3 linked regions of the Kluyveromyces lactis genome follow. The protein of the gene in region 3 interacts with the protein of the main gene of each other region in a biochemical or structural test. Links are inferred from orthologs where the notes say so. Each region holds a gene or a part of one and is shown on either strand. Other genes may lie near its edges.

Evidence for each region.
Region 1: the proteins of RSP5 (region 3) and HEM12 form a complex in vitro, tested with the Saccharomyces cerevisiae proteins (2 studies listed by BioGRID, with this or other methods). The link is inferred for Kluyveromyces lactis from reciprocal best matches to the Saccharomyces cerevisiae genes RSP5 and HEM12.
Region 2: of the proteins of RSP5 (region 3) and RPN10, one has a biochemical effect on the other in vitro, tested with the Saccharomyces cerevisiae proteins (4 studies listed by BioGRID). The link is inferred for Kluyveromyces lactis from reciprocal best matches to the Saccharomyces cerevisiae genes RSP5 and RPN10.

The regions. Positions count from the first base shown.
Region 1 is NC_006042.1:1,085,051-1,090,288, forward strand, and holds HEM12 (uroporphyrinogen decarboxylase HEM12), read left to right. Parts: upstream 1-1,338; coding exon 1,339-2,448; downstream 2,449-5,238. Other genes in the region: PFF1 (Pff1p), read right to left, coding at 1-666; VMS1 (Vms1p), read left to right, coding at 2,752-4,617; DNA-dependent ATPase RDH54, read right to left, coding at 4,649-5,238.
Region 2 is NC_006038.1:354,522-359,186, forward strand, and holds RPN10 (proteasome regulatory particle base subunit RPN10), read right to left. Parts: upstream 3,535-4,665; coding exon 2,791-3,534; downstream 1-2,790. Other genes in the region: GTPase-activating protein IML1, read right to left, coding at 1-2,350; KLLA0_B03927g (uncharacterized protein), read left to right, coding at 4,017-4,265. UniProt on the Saccharomyces cerevisiae protein: Multiubiquitin binding protein.
Region 3 is NC_006041.1:1,194,796-1,203,362, reverse strand, and holds RSP5 (NEDD4 family E3 ubiquitin-protein ligase), read right to left. Parts: upstream 5,231-8,567; coding exon 2,771-5,230; downstream 1-2,770. Other genes in the region: MPT5 (Mpt5p), read left to right, coding at 1-1,648; DSE1 (Dse1p), read left to right, coding at 6,177-7,919; casein kinase YCK3, read right to left, coding at 8,461-8,567. UniProt on the Saccharomyces cerevisiae protein: E3 ubiquitin-protein ligase which accepts ubiquitin from an E2 ubiquitin-conjugating enzyme in the form of a thioester and then directly transfers the ubiquitin to targeted substrates.

The DNA of each region.
Region 1 (5,238 bases), on a different chromosome or scaffold from region 3:
TTCTAGATTAATAACATATGATACAAGTTTGAACCACTCACTATAAGTGAATATGGTGGCTCCCAATAACCCAAATTCTTCATTATTGTTGAAGTTGAAAACGATGGTTCTTTCTGGTTGGTTTTCCGAGTAATACTGAAGTAACGCAAGAAGTGATACCACACCTTTCCCATCATCTGTGGCACCATATCCAGTTGGCACCGAGTCAAAATGGGCGGATAGTAGAAGGCCAGGTAACTGTGGTGACTTTCCTTCCACTTTAACCAAAATGTTCGAGGACTCGTAGTAAACCAGCCTGGTTTCGGTAGATGAATCGTTGAAAACGTCCAAATGTTGAAAGAGTTTAGAGACACCATTAGCAGAATCATCAGATACCTCAATAAACTTTGACTTTTTCGATATCTGCTCGACTCTTTGCAACAAATAGTCATGTACATTATCATTGAAATGAGAAGTGTAAGGATGAGGTTTCTCGGTAATGACTTGTAAATCATGCCAAGCTGCATCTAACAATGAATTTGATGACTTATCATCTGGTAAGTTTGACTTATATTTATTAGCATCGAACCATGTCAGTATACTAATAACCAAAACAGTAAGCACAAACAAGGTGCTAACGGTGGTCTTCCTAAACTTGAAAGTAGACCGAAAATAATTGGCCATCATTATAGTTGGACCAGGGAAAGAAAGAGCAGCCCTGAACGATCACCCGCTAATTTCTAAGAAATTGTAGGTGCTTGTCAAACACTTATTAATAAAACGAATGGAATAATACCTCTCTTTATCAGTTCTATTGATTTATTGTGACTGAAAACCCTTAAGTCTGTTTTGGTTTTAATTGTACATATTTCGATTATACTCATCTTCTCGAATGATAACTAGATAAAGAAAACGTACATATACACAGAGAAAAGGGCATTGACGAAGCTTTGCAGCCTTTAAAAGTCTCCAATAACAGAGTATTCATTAATCATAGGTATGTGCGTCTTCTACTCTTGTCTATCCTGTAGCTCATCCTTATTCCTTCTCGAGCATGTATTGGCGTCTTATTTGAAGAACTCACGTGCCGAGAAAGAAATTATGTTACCCTGAAAATAGATACTGGAGAGGAAAACATCAAACCCGTGCATGGTGATAACAGATGTGCCATGCAAATTTCCTCGAGACCTTTTGGGGACAATAGTTCATGCATATACGACCTGCATGGACGTTCTTAATAACAACGATTATCTGTACCATTGAAATTTGCTCTTCTACATTCAGGTCTTAGTAGTTTTCTTTTCGGTTAAGAGTGCAGGTTTACTGAAAAGTGAAACCATACAAAGACTCGTCGTCAAGATGCAAGTACAGAATGTTGATCGCTCCAAGTTCGCTCCAATGAAGAATGATTTGATGCTCAGAGCAGCTTTAGGTGAGAAGGTTGAAAGACCACCATGTTGGATTATGAGACAGGCTGGACGTTATTTACCAGAATACCATGAGGTGAAGAATGGTCGTGACTTTTTCGAGACATGTCGTGATGCAGAAATTGCTTCAGAAATTACTATTCAGCCCGTGAGACGTTACGCCGGTTTATTGGATGCAGCTATTATCTTCAGTGATATTCTTGTGATCCCTCAGGCCATGGGTATGAAAGTTGAGATGGTTGAGGGGAAAGGCCCTCATTTCCCGGAACCGTTGAGAACTGAAGAGCAACTACAAAAGGTATTGGATTATAAGGTCAACGTTTTAGACGAACTAGAATGGGCCTTTAAAGCTATCACTATGACTCGTACTAAATTGGACGGCCAAGTGCCTTTGTTAGGTTTCTGTGGTGCTCCATGGACGTTATTGGTTTATATGACCGAGGGTGGTGGATCGCGTTTATTCAGATTCGCTAAGCAATGGTTAAACGAATCGCCAGAATCATCGCATAAATTATTACAGAAGATTACTGACGTTGCGGTCGAATTCTTGTGCCAACAGGTAGTTGCTGGTTGTCAGATGCTTCAAGTGTTTGAAAGTTGGGGTGGCGAGTTAGGCTCTCGTGATTTCGACGAGTTCTCTTTACCGTACCTAAAGCAAATTGCGGAAAGAGTTCCACCAAGGTTAAAGCAGCTGGGTATCGAAGAACGTGTTCCAATGGTAGTATTCGCCAAGGGATCATGGTACGCACTAGACAAACTATGTGACAGTGGCTATAATGCAGTTTCTTTAGATTGGTCATGGGACCCTGCAGAGGCAGTAAAGATCAACAGTGACCGTGTTACCTTACAGGGTAATTTGGACCCTGGTGTAATTTACGGTTCGGATGAGATTATTACCAAGAGAGTCACTGAAATGGTTCATGGTTTCGGCGGAGGTAAGCAACATTACATTGTAAACTTTGGACATGGTACCCATCCATTCATGGATCCAGAGAAGATCAAATTCTTTTTGCAGGAATGTCACAGAGTCGGTAGTCAATAAATCTATCAAAAATCGGAAATAGACTACTACCTTTCTGCATCCAATTTATTTCATGTATATACCATTTCATTCTGTTTAATACATACTGATGTCAGTAAATCCATTTTTTTACCCTGCTTAGTTGATCAAGTCTGGTCATGTATGGTTTTTTACTTCAATGTACTTTATTTATAGTGAAACCTTGATATTTCAAAGTTTGTTACTTCAATAAATCTTCTTCATTCATGAAAACTTGCCATCACACAGTGAAACGTTTTAAAAGAGGTGTTAAAGAGCTCAAAGAAGTGTGGATTCCCTGAACTGATGTCCGACAGAATACAAAAGAATGACTTGTACGTCTATGATTTGTCTGATGAGATCCTTTCTTCTTTGCAGTTGATATCTTTCGACTCTGATATGAATGAGGTTAAAGTGGTCCATTCTGATGTAGAAATCGAAAACAAAAAGGAAATTGAGGTTAAAACAGTACCTTCATGTGCTTCATGTGGTATTAATGCATTTCCTAATGATAATTCTGATCCTCGATATCATTTTAAAACTGATTTACACAAATTCAACATAAAAAGAAGAGTTTACGGTTTATCTCCAGTCGATGAGCAAGAGTTTAGGCAGTTGATTAAAAGTAAAGAAACAGCCACTGCAGAAGATTCTGACAGTGATTCTTTATCTGGTGAGGATGATGAGACAGATGAAATAGAAGAAGATGATATTTCTACAAGAGGAGGAGAGCAGTTGACAGCAATTCTCGAGCATGAACTCCAGGATTTGATGATCAATGACAACCAAACGGGACCCGTTTCTCATTTAAACACACAATCTCCTTTAATATTCATGCATTCTGCTGAATTATCGGGACCAAGAATTTTCGGGGCTTATAAAGTACTATTTAATGCAGAGGAATTGAAATGCCCATTGAAATCAATTCATCATTGGAAAAATCAGGATAAAACCGAGCATTTCTCTGTGTTGTTCATGATTGGCGGCGGTCATTTTGCAGGAGCAGTGGTATCGCATCAAAAGATACCAACTAATGGTAATAACAAAAATAAATATATCCTATCTCTACAAGAGCAGTCAGTACAGTTTTTGGAACAGAAAACGTTCCATCGATACACTACCAGAAGAAAGCAAGGTGGCTCCCAATCAGCAAATGACAATGCCAAGGGAAAGGCAAATTCCGCTGGTTCAACTCTACGTAGATATAATGAAGCAGCGTTGAAAGCAGACATACAAGCATTGTTAAAGGATTGGGAACCCTACATTGCAAAGTGTGACAATATTTTCATTAGAGCCAATAGTGTCACAGATAGAAAGATCTTCTTAGATAATACTTGCATCTCTAAAACTGATGTCAAACTAAAGTCTTTCCCATTCACTACGATGCGCCCATCCTCAAATGAACTAAGGCGTGCCTGGGTTCAATTGACGTATTTATCGATAACGGACAAACCTCAACCAAAAGTCAAAAAATTGCAAACTGATCATTCAAAGAACAAACCTAGGAAACTTACAAATTCTCCAACACCAGTGCCTCTGAAGACAGAAGATGAACAACATACCGAAAAGCTAATCTCATTTATTCAAAAGAGTAAGGCGCCGCTGTTAATATCGTATATCAAGAAAAACAATCTTGATGTCAATATTACTTTGCAACCCTCTTCTGAATATCATCACACACCAACAATGCTACATTATGCATCATCTCACGGCTTGAAACACATGGTATTGGTGTTGTTGTCCACTTTAAAAGCAGATCCTACAATTACTAACAATGTTGGAAAAACAGCGTGGGATCTGGCGAGTGACACCATGGTCAAGGAAACCTTCCAGTTGGCGCGTTATAATTTAGGAGAAAGCTTCACGGATTGGGAGCAAAGTCATGTTAGTGGAGCATTATCGGCTGAACAGATAGATGAAAGGCACAAGAAGATAGCACTCGAAGAAGAGAAAGAAAAGAAAGACTTGATAGAAAAAGAATTGCAGGCGGCAAAGGAAAGAATCAAAGAGGAAAAAGATGCTAAAAGAGGTCCCGGAATGAAACTTGGCGCCGCATCCTCTAACGTTCAAATAAATTTGAACTCTTTAACTGATGATCAACGGATGAGATTGATGAGAGAGCAGCGAGCTCGTGCAGCTGAAGCGAGAATGAAAAGATTTTCTGGTAACTAGATGCAAGTATAAATAGTAACATATATAACTTTTACACGGAGTCTTTTACCAAAGCATAAGTGATGTACTGTCGTGCATCATCAAAGACGTTATTCATAGCTTCGTCAATTAAGTCATTAGTCTTTTGTGGATCAATATGTTTGTATCCCAATAGGCATTTTCTCATGATTTCTGACTTTGTTCCATTTCGAAGTATCTCCTCCTTCTCTATAATTTTTTGGGCTTCTAGAGCATTGATCCAAATTGAAGCAGGAGGATTGTTTGATGGAGTCGCAGCAGCCTGGTATTCTGGCTGGGCGTTGGCTTCATCAGTACCCGTTATCTCTTCTTCTTCAAGCACTTCTACTTCACCAGAACAATTACAAATTAAGTCGTGGGTATTGGATAAAGTGGACAAATTAATGGTAAACAAGTCCTTCAACTCTTCCTGCTGAAAAAGATCATCATCATTTTTTGATTGATCTGTGGCACTGTCCAAGAACTTTTTAGAAAGCGCTATTTTCATTAACTGTCTTTGAAGTATCTTCTCATCAATACATCCGGTTGTCACAAGTCTATAAATGAAACATGGCCTTCTCTGACCATCGCGATGAATTCTTGACATGGCCTGTAAATCAATGG
Region 2 (4,665 bases), on a different chromosome or scaffold from region 3:
GTACTCTTTGGTTACCAGAAGACTGTGAACTCAGTATAGATGTTCCGCATGAAGCTTCTTTTTTGTTATCATCGAACAATTGTTTCTGCTTGTGCAAAAGCTTTGGATTTGGGGACCTTTTATACTGAGATCCTGTATCACTCAAAGATGATGAAGAACCAGTCAAATCAGTAGGTTGTATATTAGCTTTTTGGCGGAGGGACGATTGACTCTTTTTAATCGCCAAATCTGGGAATAGTTTAGAGATTATCTTCTGTGTCACACCGGAATTTGCATGACTTAATCTTTTTAAAGTATTTAATGCCAAAGAATTCGTCGCCGTCATTTGGTTCTTGTATTCAAATTCAGTTCGTGGTAAATTAGAGTTCGGAGATGAAGATAGCTGAGCGAACACCTTCTCTTTGAAAGCTGGTTGAAGGACAGCATTAGTGGATTTTGGTTTCATCCATGTGATAGTATCAATGTGGTTAGTATTCCCCTTGGACTTCGATACTGTACGTCTATTCCAATCATTCTTACTCTCTTTAGAAGAGCGGAACTCCGCAGCAAGAGCAGCATCCATATGCATTGAGTAAGGGCCACTCTGAACTTCGAAAGCAGCAGAATCGTAAGATTCCATAAAATCTGATACAGAGTTGCATTTGTCGTTTATTTTTATGGATTGTAAGGCAATTTCCTCTTTTAGTTCAGTTTCAGTTAATCCCATCATTAAAACGTTGTATATTTTACATCTGGGTCGCCATTCAACATTAGCTCTGGAAGAATCATTCCAGAAGGATATACTTAACCAGGTTGGCGTGCAATAATGTAATTGGTCTTTGTAGTCTCTATAACGTAACAACGGAACTATATGAAGCGGTGGACGTGATAGACAAATGAGGTCCATTGTAATCTCTAGAGACATTAATTTTTGAGTGGTAATTTTTAGTAGATCATAGTCAACATCGTATAAACCTGAACCAGCAGTAACGATGATGGCATGTGTAGTCGTGTGCCGTAGATCATTTTGTTTGAAGGGATCGGTCACCAAAGTAGTTGCCAGATTAATTGTCTCCAACAAATTAGACTTTATGACAGAAGGAAGAGACCCTTTTATCACACTAACGTTTTCATTTAGCTTGACATTTCTGAGATCCTGTGCAATTCTTATAAACTCTTTCCTAAGTGTTTTCATGATTTCAACCCAGTGTACTATATTAACCTGGTCAACAACTGCTCGATAATAATCGTCAGTGTTCTTGAGCCTCTCTCCGGATGTGACATCATTGAATGATGAATCCGATCTGTCAATTGAAGCACAAAACATTATGGAAATGGAATGATGTGTGCCTATATTTTTCCACTTTCGGAATATTTTTGGAAAAAGAGAGTTAACCACTTTATGGAAAGTCTCCTCTCCATTCTCCTCAAAATGCCACATCTCGTCTGTTATTTGAATCATGAACAGTAGTTTTGCTGATTCAGATCGGAACACGATTTTAGTATTTTCATCGATATACCCAGAAAATATCTTCTTTCCATTTATGTATATCCCTTTAACCGTTGCCCTTACCGTTTCAATCAAACCAACTCGTTGCCCTAAAAAGACACACGAATCATGGAGCTGAGTAGAAAATTTCCACATATCGCCTCTGTTAACGTAACTATCTTTAACATGAAGCTCCACCAAATCAACAGCAAGCTGCTTCTTCTCTTTTAACTTTACCCACACTTTAGATCGTATTGGTAGGTCCAAAACTTGTTGTAGTTGCCCAGATAAAACTGAAATTTGGAAACTCTTCAATCTCCTTCTTGTTTCTGTATCAAAATCTTTCACTATGAAATATAACTTTTTATCTTTGGATCCGGGAGAAGTTCTGTAAGTTTTTAGTTCAGCCAGATCACCTTCTTTGGCACCCTTAATGGATGATATGTCAACCATAACTTGTTCATTCGAAAACCTTGCTTCATGAAAAGCAAGTTCCAACTCGAGGGATCTTTTAGCTGTTCTCGCTTCTGCGTCACTATCATTATCCGCAATATTCTTACTATCCTGACAACCATCTTGTGATTGCGCCTGCAGGGCTTTAGATTGAGTATTTTTCAAACCATTGGTCGATAACTGCATCCGAGGGCCGTTGAACGCAGATCCTTGCATTTGAGAGCTGACGCCGATACTCAAAGTATTATTTCTAATTGTAACATTCGTACCAGAAGTTGCATCAGATGAACCGGTACCTTGAAAGTTATACCTTGCAGAAGATTTGGTGCTGATGGCATCGCTTTGCACTGATGACAGGGCATCCCTGTCCCTTGGAACAGGCCTTGATCCTGACCTTAGGTTAGAAAATATAAGTTCCCCGGGAGGCATGTCTTAAGGAAGACGACTAGGGATCCTTGACAATTGATCAATTTCACTGCTTCTACAATGCAAACTGGAGAAAAAAAGTACAATGAGGTTGAGTGGATGAGTTTTCTTCATCCATATGTGTTTTGTCTTGTCTGCATCTTGATATTTTTCAAATTATTGGTTTTTTCGTAGATTATTGTTGAAAGGGTACAAAATATATATCACGTGAATAGGACAATGTTCATACATGGACATGTTCGAAGCTTAATAGTTAATACCATGAGAACTTGCAGTAAACCATGAACTGAAGTTGGCTTTCTCGATATTGGGAGAGGGTACAATATTAAGAAGTTGAGTTGTTAAAGGGCCATGTTATGACGATTTACTGGGTCATTAGTATACAGAATAGATACCTATATGAGACGGAGGTTGTTAAGAATGCGGAAGTTTAAAGGAATGACTTACTCTGTCGAGTTTTGTCTTATGCGTTCCTGTCTTTCCTGTTCTTCTTGCATAGATAAGCGCAATGCCATTGCCAATTCAGGATCTAGGGATGGATCAACACCAAAGTCCATAAAATCGTCATTACCTCCCATTGAGAAGCCAGCCTCAGCAGCAGGACCTTCAAGTACAATAGGCGATGCTGCTACATGCTCGTAGAGTAGTTTGGGGCCTGCATCAATGTTCAAAAGAGTAGATTTACTATCCTCTTGCCCACTGTTGACCGTTTCTACGAATTCCTCCAATAGGTCAGCGTTCGTATCAGTTTCACCGAAATTGATAACATCAACCGCAATGCTATTTTTCTTCAACTTCTTTGCCATCTTAATCAAATCCTGTCTATCCTCAGTGATTGGACTACAAACGAATATAATAATCCTTTGACGCTGTACTCTATTTTGTCTATGTTTCAAAGTCAATGCAGCAATCTGTATGGCAGTGGCAAAATGGATGGACCCTCCAATATTGATATCATGTAGTCCGCTCAAGATCTTACCGAATTCGTTTGTGAATGTGGATAAAACTTTTGGGTTTGCCTCGGCAGCAGATACCAACCCTATAGTGTTCTCTGGATTACTGTTTCTTTTCGCCTGGAAAATATACTCAACGGCATCAACTTGTGCCACAAATCGAGTTCTTGGAAAGTCACCGTTCCTGGCATATTCCGAGTTATCAACAACCAATACAGTAGCTTCTAAAACCATCTCTCTTTCCTTAATATATCTGTTCTAAAATGATTCCAAATAAGAGAATAATTCAATCAAAGACTACAAAAAATTATCTCGCTTTAAAATAGAATAGCGGTACGCAATCTTAATTGATATAGAATGGGTTCAGCAACTTAATTATCCATTAGTTAACCTTCTTTTCCCTGGTGGCAACTGTAGCTAGGAACTACTTCTTTTCTCTATATTAAATATTAACCTAACTTTACTTTGAACCAAATTACCCACTAGATTAATAAATCCGGGTAATAAAAATCCAATCTCTCTTTTTCTTCCCCTTCACGCAGATCAATCTGCAGGGCCTTCTGTCGTTCTCCGTATTATGGCAGAAACTTCGCAAACTCTCTGTCAAAACCAAAAGTTAAGGTTTCGGATCTTTATATAAGTAAACAAACAGGTGAAATAATGAAGATCAAGCACTTGAGATTTTATCCGCCGAAGTGACTAATAGAGAAACAGTGATGAGTACCGGCGAAGATGGTTCCAAAAACGGGCAGCATATTACTGAAAAGCAACGAGAGAAGATTCGAAGTGCGTTAATAACTCGCCAGGAAGAGAAACTGCAAGAGGCCCTGAATGAGATAGAGAGAGTGAAAGGTAACACCAAAGAGATGCTGGAATCTGTGATTTCTACGTGGAAAGAGAAGGCTAAATTGAGGGATGGAACTATCCAGGAAACCCTGGACCGTGAAAGGGCTGGTGATGTTTAGAAGTGCATTTAAAATCGTTTAACCAAATCGAAGAACGGATGCCGGGGACTTCAGAACGAACTCCCACGTGACCATGCCTAAGATCGAAAGACTGTTTCCCCCCAATTCTGTGGTGATATTAAAGTGGGCGAGAAATCCAATTAGTGCTCCGGGTGATTAATAGTCACGTGTAATGATTTCCCACGTGATGTTTTTTTGTTGGTCAAGAAGTCTTACCATACACAAACACCACGGTTTTCTTTTTTTTTTTTTTTTTGTTGTGAAAGAGTAATCCACTGTTATCTTACCAGTCAGCAGGTAAACATCTGATATTCCGGAAAAAAAAAAAGAACTTCCCTTAGCGTCCTCGCTAGCATTCAGTCTTACTCATTCTCGCATACACAGTTTGGACCAATGGTTC
Region 3 (8,567 bases):
CGTTGAGACCCAAGAACATATAGATATGATCATTAGGGGATTTTCTCAGGAGCATACATCAATTGAACAGGTAGTCACTTTGATTAATGATTTGAACGGTAATCATGTCATTCAGAAATGTATCTTCAAATTCCAACCAGCAAATTTTGATTTTATCATTGACGCCATTGTCAATAACGATAACATCATTACCATCTCAACTCACAAACACGGGTGTTGTGTACTGCAAAAATTGTTGAGTGTTTGTACTCTGCAACAGATTTTCAAGATTTCTGTCAAGATAATTCAGTACTTGCCCTCCTTGATCAACGACCAATTCGGTAACTATATTATCCAGTTCTTGTTCGATATCAAGGAGTTGGATTTCTACCTGTTAGGCGAAACTTTCAACAAATTGTCACAAAAGTTGTGCCAGTTGTCCTGTTTAAAGTTTTCTTCAAACGTTGTTGAGAAATATATAAAGAAGTTGTTTGCCATTGTGATGAATTATGTGTCCAACACAGCAACTACATCTACATCAACAGCGGCTTTGAATCCACATGACAGAGTCGATGATGGGGATGATGTTGTTAACGCTTCCATGGGTATTCTTTTGGTAATTGCTGATATCTTCATGGCTAACATTACTTCTTTGATAAGAGACAACTATGGTAACTACGCATTGCAAACTCTTTTGGACGTCAGAAACTATTCAGCTATTCTAGAACATCCAAGAAATAACATTGTGTACAATAATCCTCGGCTAGCAAGTTTCAGTCATGAGTTCACTGCCAAGATCAGTAACCTCATTGTAATCACCAAGGAGCTGTTGCCAAGTATCAAAAACACATCATACGCGAAGAAGATCAAATTGAAGGTAAGAGCATACACGGAACTTACAGGAATCACATTTGATGATGTAACTCCAACAAAGAAAAAGGTTAATGAACCATTCCGTCAACAAAACAAGCACCATTCTCGCAACTTTTCTCTGCCTTCCAATGCATATCTGAACAACAGGAACAATGGTCCAGGTAACAATAATACCAATAACCATCAATTCCAAAGAAACACTAACTTCCACAATAATATAAACACCGGCGGTGATAATAGCAGCAACCATCACCACAAGAAGAAAAACAGCATTCAACAACAGATGACACTCCCACCTTATCAACAGAATGTTCCGCAGATGCCAATGGCTTCTCAACATGATTATTCAATGCAAACACAACAGCCACCGCCATTTCAACAGTTGCAACCACCGGCACCGGAACATCAACAACCTCATCTTGATCAGTATTTGAACAATCAAAGCATGCAGCAACCATTATTAATGAACTCCAATTTGCATTTCTCCTCAAATAATGTTGCTAACATGCCAGCTCCGATGTACATGGACTCACAATACCCAACACCACAATCAAATAGCTCTATGATGTATGGGTTCCCAACTCCAAGTCAACCAGGGTTGACTTCCAATATGTCCCAATCATCATTTGTATCTTTACCGGGAATTCTCAATGGATCTAATATGGTTCCAATGTCGGATTCACAATCGAATACCCCTCCAAACGGGATGCCCCCACGCTCCTCCTCCAATATAATGCAGCATAACAGAAATGTCAGCTTTCCAATGTTTGGTGACAATTCCACATATTTCAATTAAAGGAGAGGAACCTTGTAAAAACTAGTAAAAGTCGCAACAGCGTAAAACACAATTATAAACTAAAAAAAAAATACCACAGAAGAAAGAAGCGAGAAGGATGCATGCAGTCATCAAATTGTTTAAAACATTTCCGAATTCATGATGAAATATTTGTTACAAGTTTTTGATTCTACCATCAATCTTACTTTTCCTTTAGATTTTTCATTTTTTTTGTCTTTATCTGATGGATAGTCGATTCTATGGAAATACAAAATTTATTTTATACACAGGGGAAATAGGTCACGACTTATGAATGTCATTCTGAATGGTAACAGGTTGTTTTATTAAGCATTTTTAAACTGCACTAAAAAGGAAAAAAAAATAGAATACCAAGGTATTAATTGTGGGATCTTTCGGTGTAGAATCAATCTTTACATTCAATCAAAGATTGTGATTACACTCTCTTCACTTACATACCAGGTCAAAAAAAGGGTCATAGTGAGAGGAAATAGGCCGATTCATGAAAGATCCGTAACAATTAAGCCACAACTTTTAAAAAAAAACTACAACATTAAGCCACCGAAACGTTTATGGGTTAACATCTTTTTTCATTATTATTGCATTCAAATATATTGTTGTCGCTCGTTATTATACAATATACAATAAATTCATTCAATTCACTCATTTAAATTATTTTATTATAAGCTTTACCCTGTCCTCTATCATAATTATCATATATATAATTACAACTTAACCCTTTTCATTTAAGAACCCGGTCTTAATACTATCAACTCCATGCAGCTAATTTTCGTTATTATCCCAAAATTTAAGCTGGATATATCAATCTCTGGGCAATTACAAAACTCCGTCGGTTAGGAACCAGATACTTCGTTGTCAATTGCTTCCCACATTATAGCATACCTATATAAAGTAACACCTGATAATGGCAATAAAATATAACAAAGCACCATAAGTTGAGGCCTAACGAGGTTAAGAAAAAAATTTCTATGTAATAATATACACATGTTTTGGCAACAATATATCTATAACATATATATGTCTGTGCTTGTGTTTGTGCTTGCGCTTTCTGATTGAATAATTGAGAAGGTGCAGGGTATTGAAAAGATTGAAAGATTCATTCAACTACTCTTGTCCAAATCCGATGGTTTCTTCCACTGCTAATGTTAGCTTCTGCTTGAAAGATTCATAATCAGTGTATGGTGGAAGATCCACTCTGTTGAAACAAGTGTGTGACTTGGGTAGTTGTTGAACTTCACCTGCTTTTTCGATAGTGAATCTTCTTGGACCATCAGAACCTTGCAAATCTTTGAATCCATTGACCGGGATACGCGATGTACCAGTTGTGAATTGTAACAAACGTGCTCTTTGCTCGTTGTCCCATTCAGTGATACATTTCCAGAACCACTGGATAACTTCGTCAGACTCTTGGTATCCACGATAATCTGTGTGTTTTTTCCAGTCTTCAACATCAATTTCTGCAATACCACCAATCAATAATTCAAGTTCACGTTCATCAAACACGTTGACTAGATCTTCAGGAACCAATTCGTTAAATCCATCCATAAATGCCTTAAATTGTTCTTGAACTCTGTCTGCGATCCTCCATTGGGTATATAGTTCAACATATTCTTTCTTGTTTTCATCTGTGACTTCGATTTCTCTGCCGTTTGGTTTCAAATCGACGACAACCAGTTCACCAAATCTTTCATCATCAACATTAAATGTTAGATCTAAAATGCCATCTATGCTATTTTCTAAAATCCATTTCAAGGAGTTGTAGACTTCTGAATCGACACCTTCCATATCTTGTAATACTACCTTCTTTCTTAGCATCATCTTATATAGAGCACCAACGAAGAATGCATCCAAGAACCTTCTATGGAATACACCTAAACCGACGACTCTACCAATGAACTTGAAGTAGTTCAAATGCTCAGGGTTGATACCACTGTTTGGATTGATTTGGATAGTATAGTTATCATGGGCAGAATATTCAAATAGACAGTAGAAGGGATTAAACATCTCGTGTGATAGTAAAAAGAAGAATTCTCTTGAAACACCACCATAATCTAAACCTTCTTCACCGTCAAATTTGATCATTAGTCTCTTCTTTAAGTCTTCTGGCGTTTGTCTCATTATTTCTTGGTAAGAATCTTCGAAGATATTCTTTCTGCGTACTCTGATGTGACATTGACCTGGTAGAATTCTTAAAGCCGGTTGGGATCTGAAGTAAATAACCTTACGTCTGAAGTCACGCTTATACTGTGGAACGTTTTGATCCAAGGAAGAAGGTAATCTAGGATCATCCCAAGTGGTGGTCTTAGTGTTATGGTCAACGAAGTATACACGGGCTGTGTTTGTCAATCTCATCTCCCAACCAGAAGGCAAAGGTCCTAACTGAGATACAGGTTGTTGTTGTATGGTATTTGTGGAAGGCCCATAGGTTCTAATATATTGTTGTCTTCTTGGATCGACCCATGTCGTGGTTCTTGTGTTGTGATCAACGAAGTACGCTCTTCCTTCAGGAGTGAACCGTTGTTCCCAACCTGGTGGAAGTTCACCCAACCCCGATGTGGTACCCCCAGTGGCAGCAAAAGTAGCAGCTGCTGAACCGTTTACGGCAGGAGTTTGAGATCCAGTACCGGTATGAACAGCAACGTTTGATGAAGACGAGCCCTCTGATTGAGCACCACCATCAGGTAAAGTTCTTCCTCTGTGTTGTCTACGTTCTAGTTCGGTGTTGACACGTTGAACCTCGGATTGATCCAAAGTGGGTCTTTTCCATGTTGTTGTCCTTGTATTATGATCCACATAATATGTTCTTCCAAAGTTATCCGTTCTTCTTTCCCATCCTGGGGGTAAACGACCATATTGATCTTCAAACGATGAGTATTGCCTGCTAGCTGACGATTGAGATTGAGCTGTCGAAGGTTGACCGGATGGAGCAGCATCACTTGAACCGGCACCTGAACCTGAACTGGCGGTACCTGCAGCATTCGCAGAATCCTGGTTGTCTAATGTAGTAGTTTGCAAGTTGTTAGCAACAGTCTGAGCAATCAATCTGTTGTCGATAGTGGAAGCGTTCGTCATCGAATCCGATTGACGAGCTGCTCCGGAACCAGCAACAGCACTACCTGCGGCACCAGCAGCTCCATTACGGCTGCCAGCTCTGGGGAGAACCGTCAAAACCAATATTATTCTACCACTTACTGACAACCCGTCGTTAGAACGTTTTAAATCTCTAGTAATAGTCTCTTCACGAGCTCTACCGTTCGAAGTGGCAGTATCTTCGTCCAAGTGACCCAGAATGTCACCAATACGAACGTTGACAACACCTAGGAACCCTTGATCTTTCTTCTTGAACTTTTTCTGATCAAACACTTGAACAGTTAAGATCGAATTTTCACTCACATTTTTGAATTGAAATACTTCATTCCAGTAGGGATTCAACGTCTTCTTTGCAGCCGCTGTGGATTTCGTCTGAGAACCATCGATAGTCAAAACTGCAAACGGATCAGGAGATCTAAACACATCCCTCCTGTTCAATGACTCAGCAGCCACTAGTTTCACAGAGATAGACATATTTCGCAGCTTTTTATTTTTTTAATGGTTTGTCAATTTCAAATCCGATAATTTCTCCTTCAAAGTGGAATCTCAATAACAAATTGAAAAGTCTTCAAACACTAGATATCTGATAAGTGGTAGTAACAGCAATAATTATTAAACAAATAAAACCGCCCGAGAAAGCCTATAAGGTTTTATTTTTTGTCTTTTGTCTTCTTTAATTGTCGTAATTGCAAAGAAACAGAACAGGAAACAGAACCAGAAAAAAAGTTGATGATTCCTCTAAAAAGAAGCAAAGAAAAATCAGATCAATACCTTGCTCAATACCCTTTTCCGTACCGTCCTTTTTGCCACTGTCAATGCACGTTTGCTTATCCTCTAGCACCTTGATCTGATGATTAAATCGGATGTTGTTTGCAAGTAAAGTATCTTTGTTCTTGTTTTGTTTCCTTAATTAAAATATGCAAATCACAATTTTCTTTTCTCCTTTACTTGTCACGTGAGGAGATTGAAACCTGGAAAAAGAGTACTAAAGAGGGATACCAGGCTACGCCGAGTATGTCAGTAAATTCGGAAACGGCATTAATGGCGGTGGTAGCCACCAGGTTGCAAGAATCTGCCGTATTGCTGTCAGATGACGTGCATATGGGACGATTATGGGCATCACGTGACAAAAATCATATCGTCCAAAATGACATAAATATAAACAAGCCTTTGCCAGCTTTAAAGATGCTGGGTTTGTTTACAGGTAAACAAACCTCTTGCAAACATAAACAGGATGTTTGCTCATATGGCTGCCTAACACACTCAATAGGTAACGTGCCTTTCTCTAATTTTTGTTGCTTGTTCTGCGTTTGGTCCTATTTTTGATTGGCTCAGTGTTTGCTAGTGCTATTTTTATTTGCCCTGTATCATATATAAACATGTCGTTTCTAAAAGTGACCAGCTCTTACTCCTCTAATGGATGTACCTGTTAACAATCAATTATTCTCTGCAGTGCAAACATTACACAAAGTCAAATAAGAAACTGTATATTGCGAAAATTATGACTGAATTCTACAGGGCTCCAGAGATATTCAGACAGAACGCCATCATCGTCAAGAAGAGTAGAAGAGATATTAGCGATGACGAGAACAGTACTATTGTCAGGCGGAATTGCAAGATAGAGGCTTCGAAATTGAACAGTTCCTTGCTAAGGAAGGTTAGTGGTGATTTGAACGATGTCATTGTCACGAAAAAATTGAAGACAGATTGTTGGAAACTGTCAGAAGACACTAGGGACGTCACTTCAATGTCATTGGATAGGGACACCATTCTACTTTCCACATCACAGACATCGGATAATTTACAGTTGTTCCAATTGCGGAATAATGAAATTAATGAGCAGGCTCGCGGTGGGAAATTGCTCCATAGTTTACAAACCATTACTGTTCCAGGAAAATCTATTCTGGCTACAGATATCATGCAATCGCAGAATAATGACACCGTAGTTTCCTTCGATGATAAAGTCCATGACAGAATCTTACTTTCAGGACACTCTGATGGATATGTGAACTTAATTGCAACTTCAATCGAGAATGGGAACGCCAAAATTCTAAGACGTTTCAATCATTCCAAACATTTGAAAGTGATCACCGATAGCATGGATAGTGTTGATCTTGCTACGCAAATTTATAACACAAGTCGTTCAAAACCAATTCGTCATTTGAAGACCTGGAACAAGCATCATTTCACCTCTGTCATTAACGATTCGTTGTTTGTCTATGACGTGAACCAACAGTGCAAAGACCCATTATACTTGAACAGTTTCCCCGGTTTGGAACACGTTGATGTTAACCCAGTCAATCCATTCACATTTTCTCTGACAGGAACGAAATTTGGGCAGTCCGGAATTGCATTGTTGGATCTTCGTTTGGGTGATGGTAACGGAATACGTGTCCCTGGACCTCAGGACAGCAATGCCGAGTCTGGCAAATGTTATACTTCCAAATGGTTAGATGAATATACGGTCGTTAATTCGGTCGGAAAGGCATTGAAGATATGGGATATCAGATATGGGAAGGTTAGAGCACACCTGTTGGGTCATAACGGACATGTCAACAGTCTCGATTACGATAATGAAATGAAGAAAATATATAGTACAGACGATCAAGGCTTAATAATGTCCTGGGATATCAAAGATTTGAAATTCACCGACCAAGTAATGTGTTGCAGACCATCTCATGGTATCCAGAGCTTTGGATTACCAGCGGACTGTGTGCAAAACGGTAACATTATTCAATCTCCAGATCTGGAAAGAATCGGAAACAAGAAACATCTAGGGAGTCATTTCGTCGGCTTAGCAGACTCTCATTTCATATCCTTGCAAGATCAAGAGCTAAGATCGTACTCGGTTGTTGACATGCCAATGGTTTTACCTCCACCAAGGAACCCATTACGTCTACTCGAATCCGTGTCGACCGAAACGAAATCAGAACCTCCAGCTACTATGGTCTACTCCAGTTCAGATGAAACAACCAAGGATAGTAGCAATTCTGCGTTTGAAGATTCTGAGGATACTCTGGAATACGAAGCCCATTCTCCAATGACGCCTGCACTAGATAGCATGTTTGACGGTAAAACCCATTCATTCGATATACCCACAATCCCTCTTCTGTCTGGCATTAGAAGAGGCAGCGATGCCACATTTGTATGCGAAGGCTTATGATACCCGTTCACCTCCCTCAATCACCTTCTGCAATTCATTGAAACCTGTTACCCATGTGGAAATTATATTGCATTGCATTCACTTCAAATTTAACTTACTATCAGCTAATAAATAATTCAATGATTAAATATACTCTTCAAGTGCTTAATTCGTTATTTAAGTTCCTTGAAACTAAATTACAATTTATATTAAAGTAAAGTAAAATATTATGAATATGTATTTCTATTTACATATCTGGATGTTCATGTAATTTGTCAGTTCTCCTCAGCTAAAGCAAGGGTGTAAGTTTGTCTAATAAATGCGAACCGAGCGAGAAAGATCATGGGAATGGGAGAGACACAAAGATATGAAAGGTTCCTTCTTGCCTTGGAAAAAAAATTATAAAAGCAAAACGCTCAGCGTTAAATGTATCCGTGTGTGCCTGTTATTGGAGAACCCAGACGATCAACGCCTTTTCAGCTCTTACAACAGGACAACAAATAGGTAAGGAGGGTTAAATTAACTTATAATACATCTTCTCGTCATGGGCCTAAAAAATGGGCTAGCAAATTCCACAGCACAATTTTGAAAAAAATCCGCCTTCTTCAATGGAATCATTATCGTCATACTCTTCGTTATTCGGAATGCGTCTGCCATGAAGCTTACCCA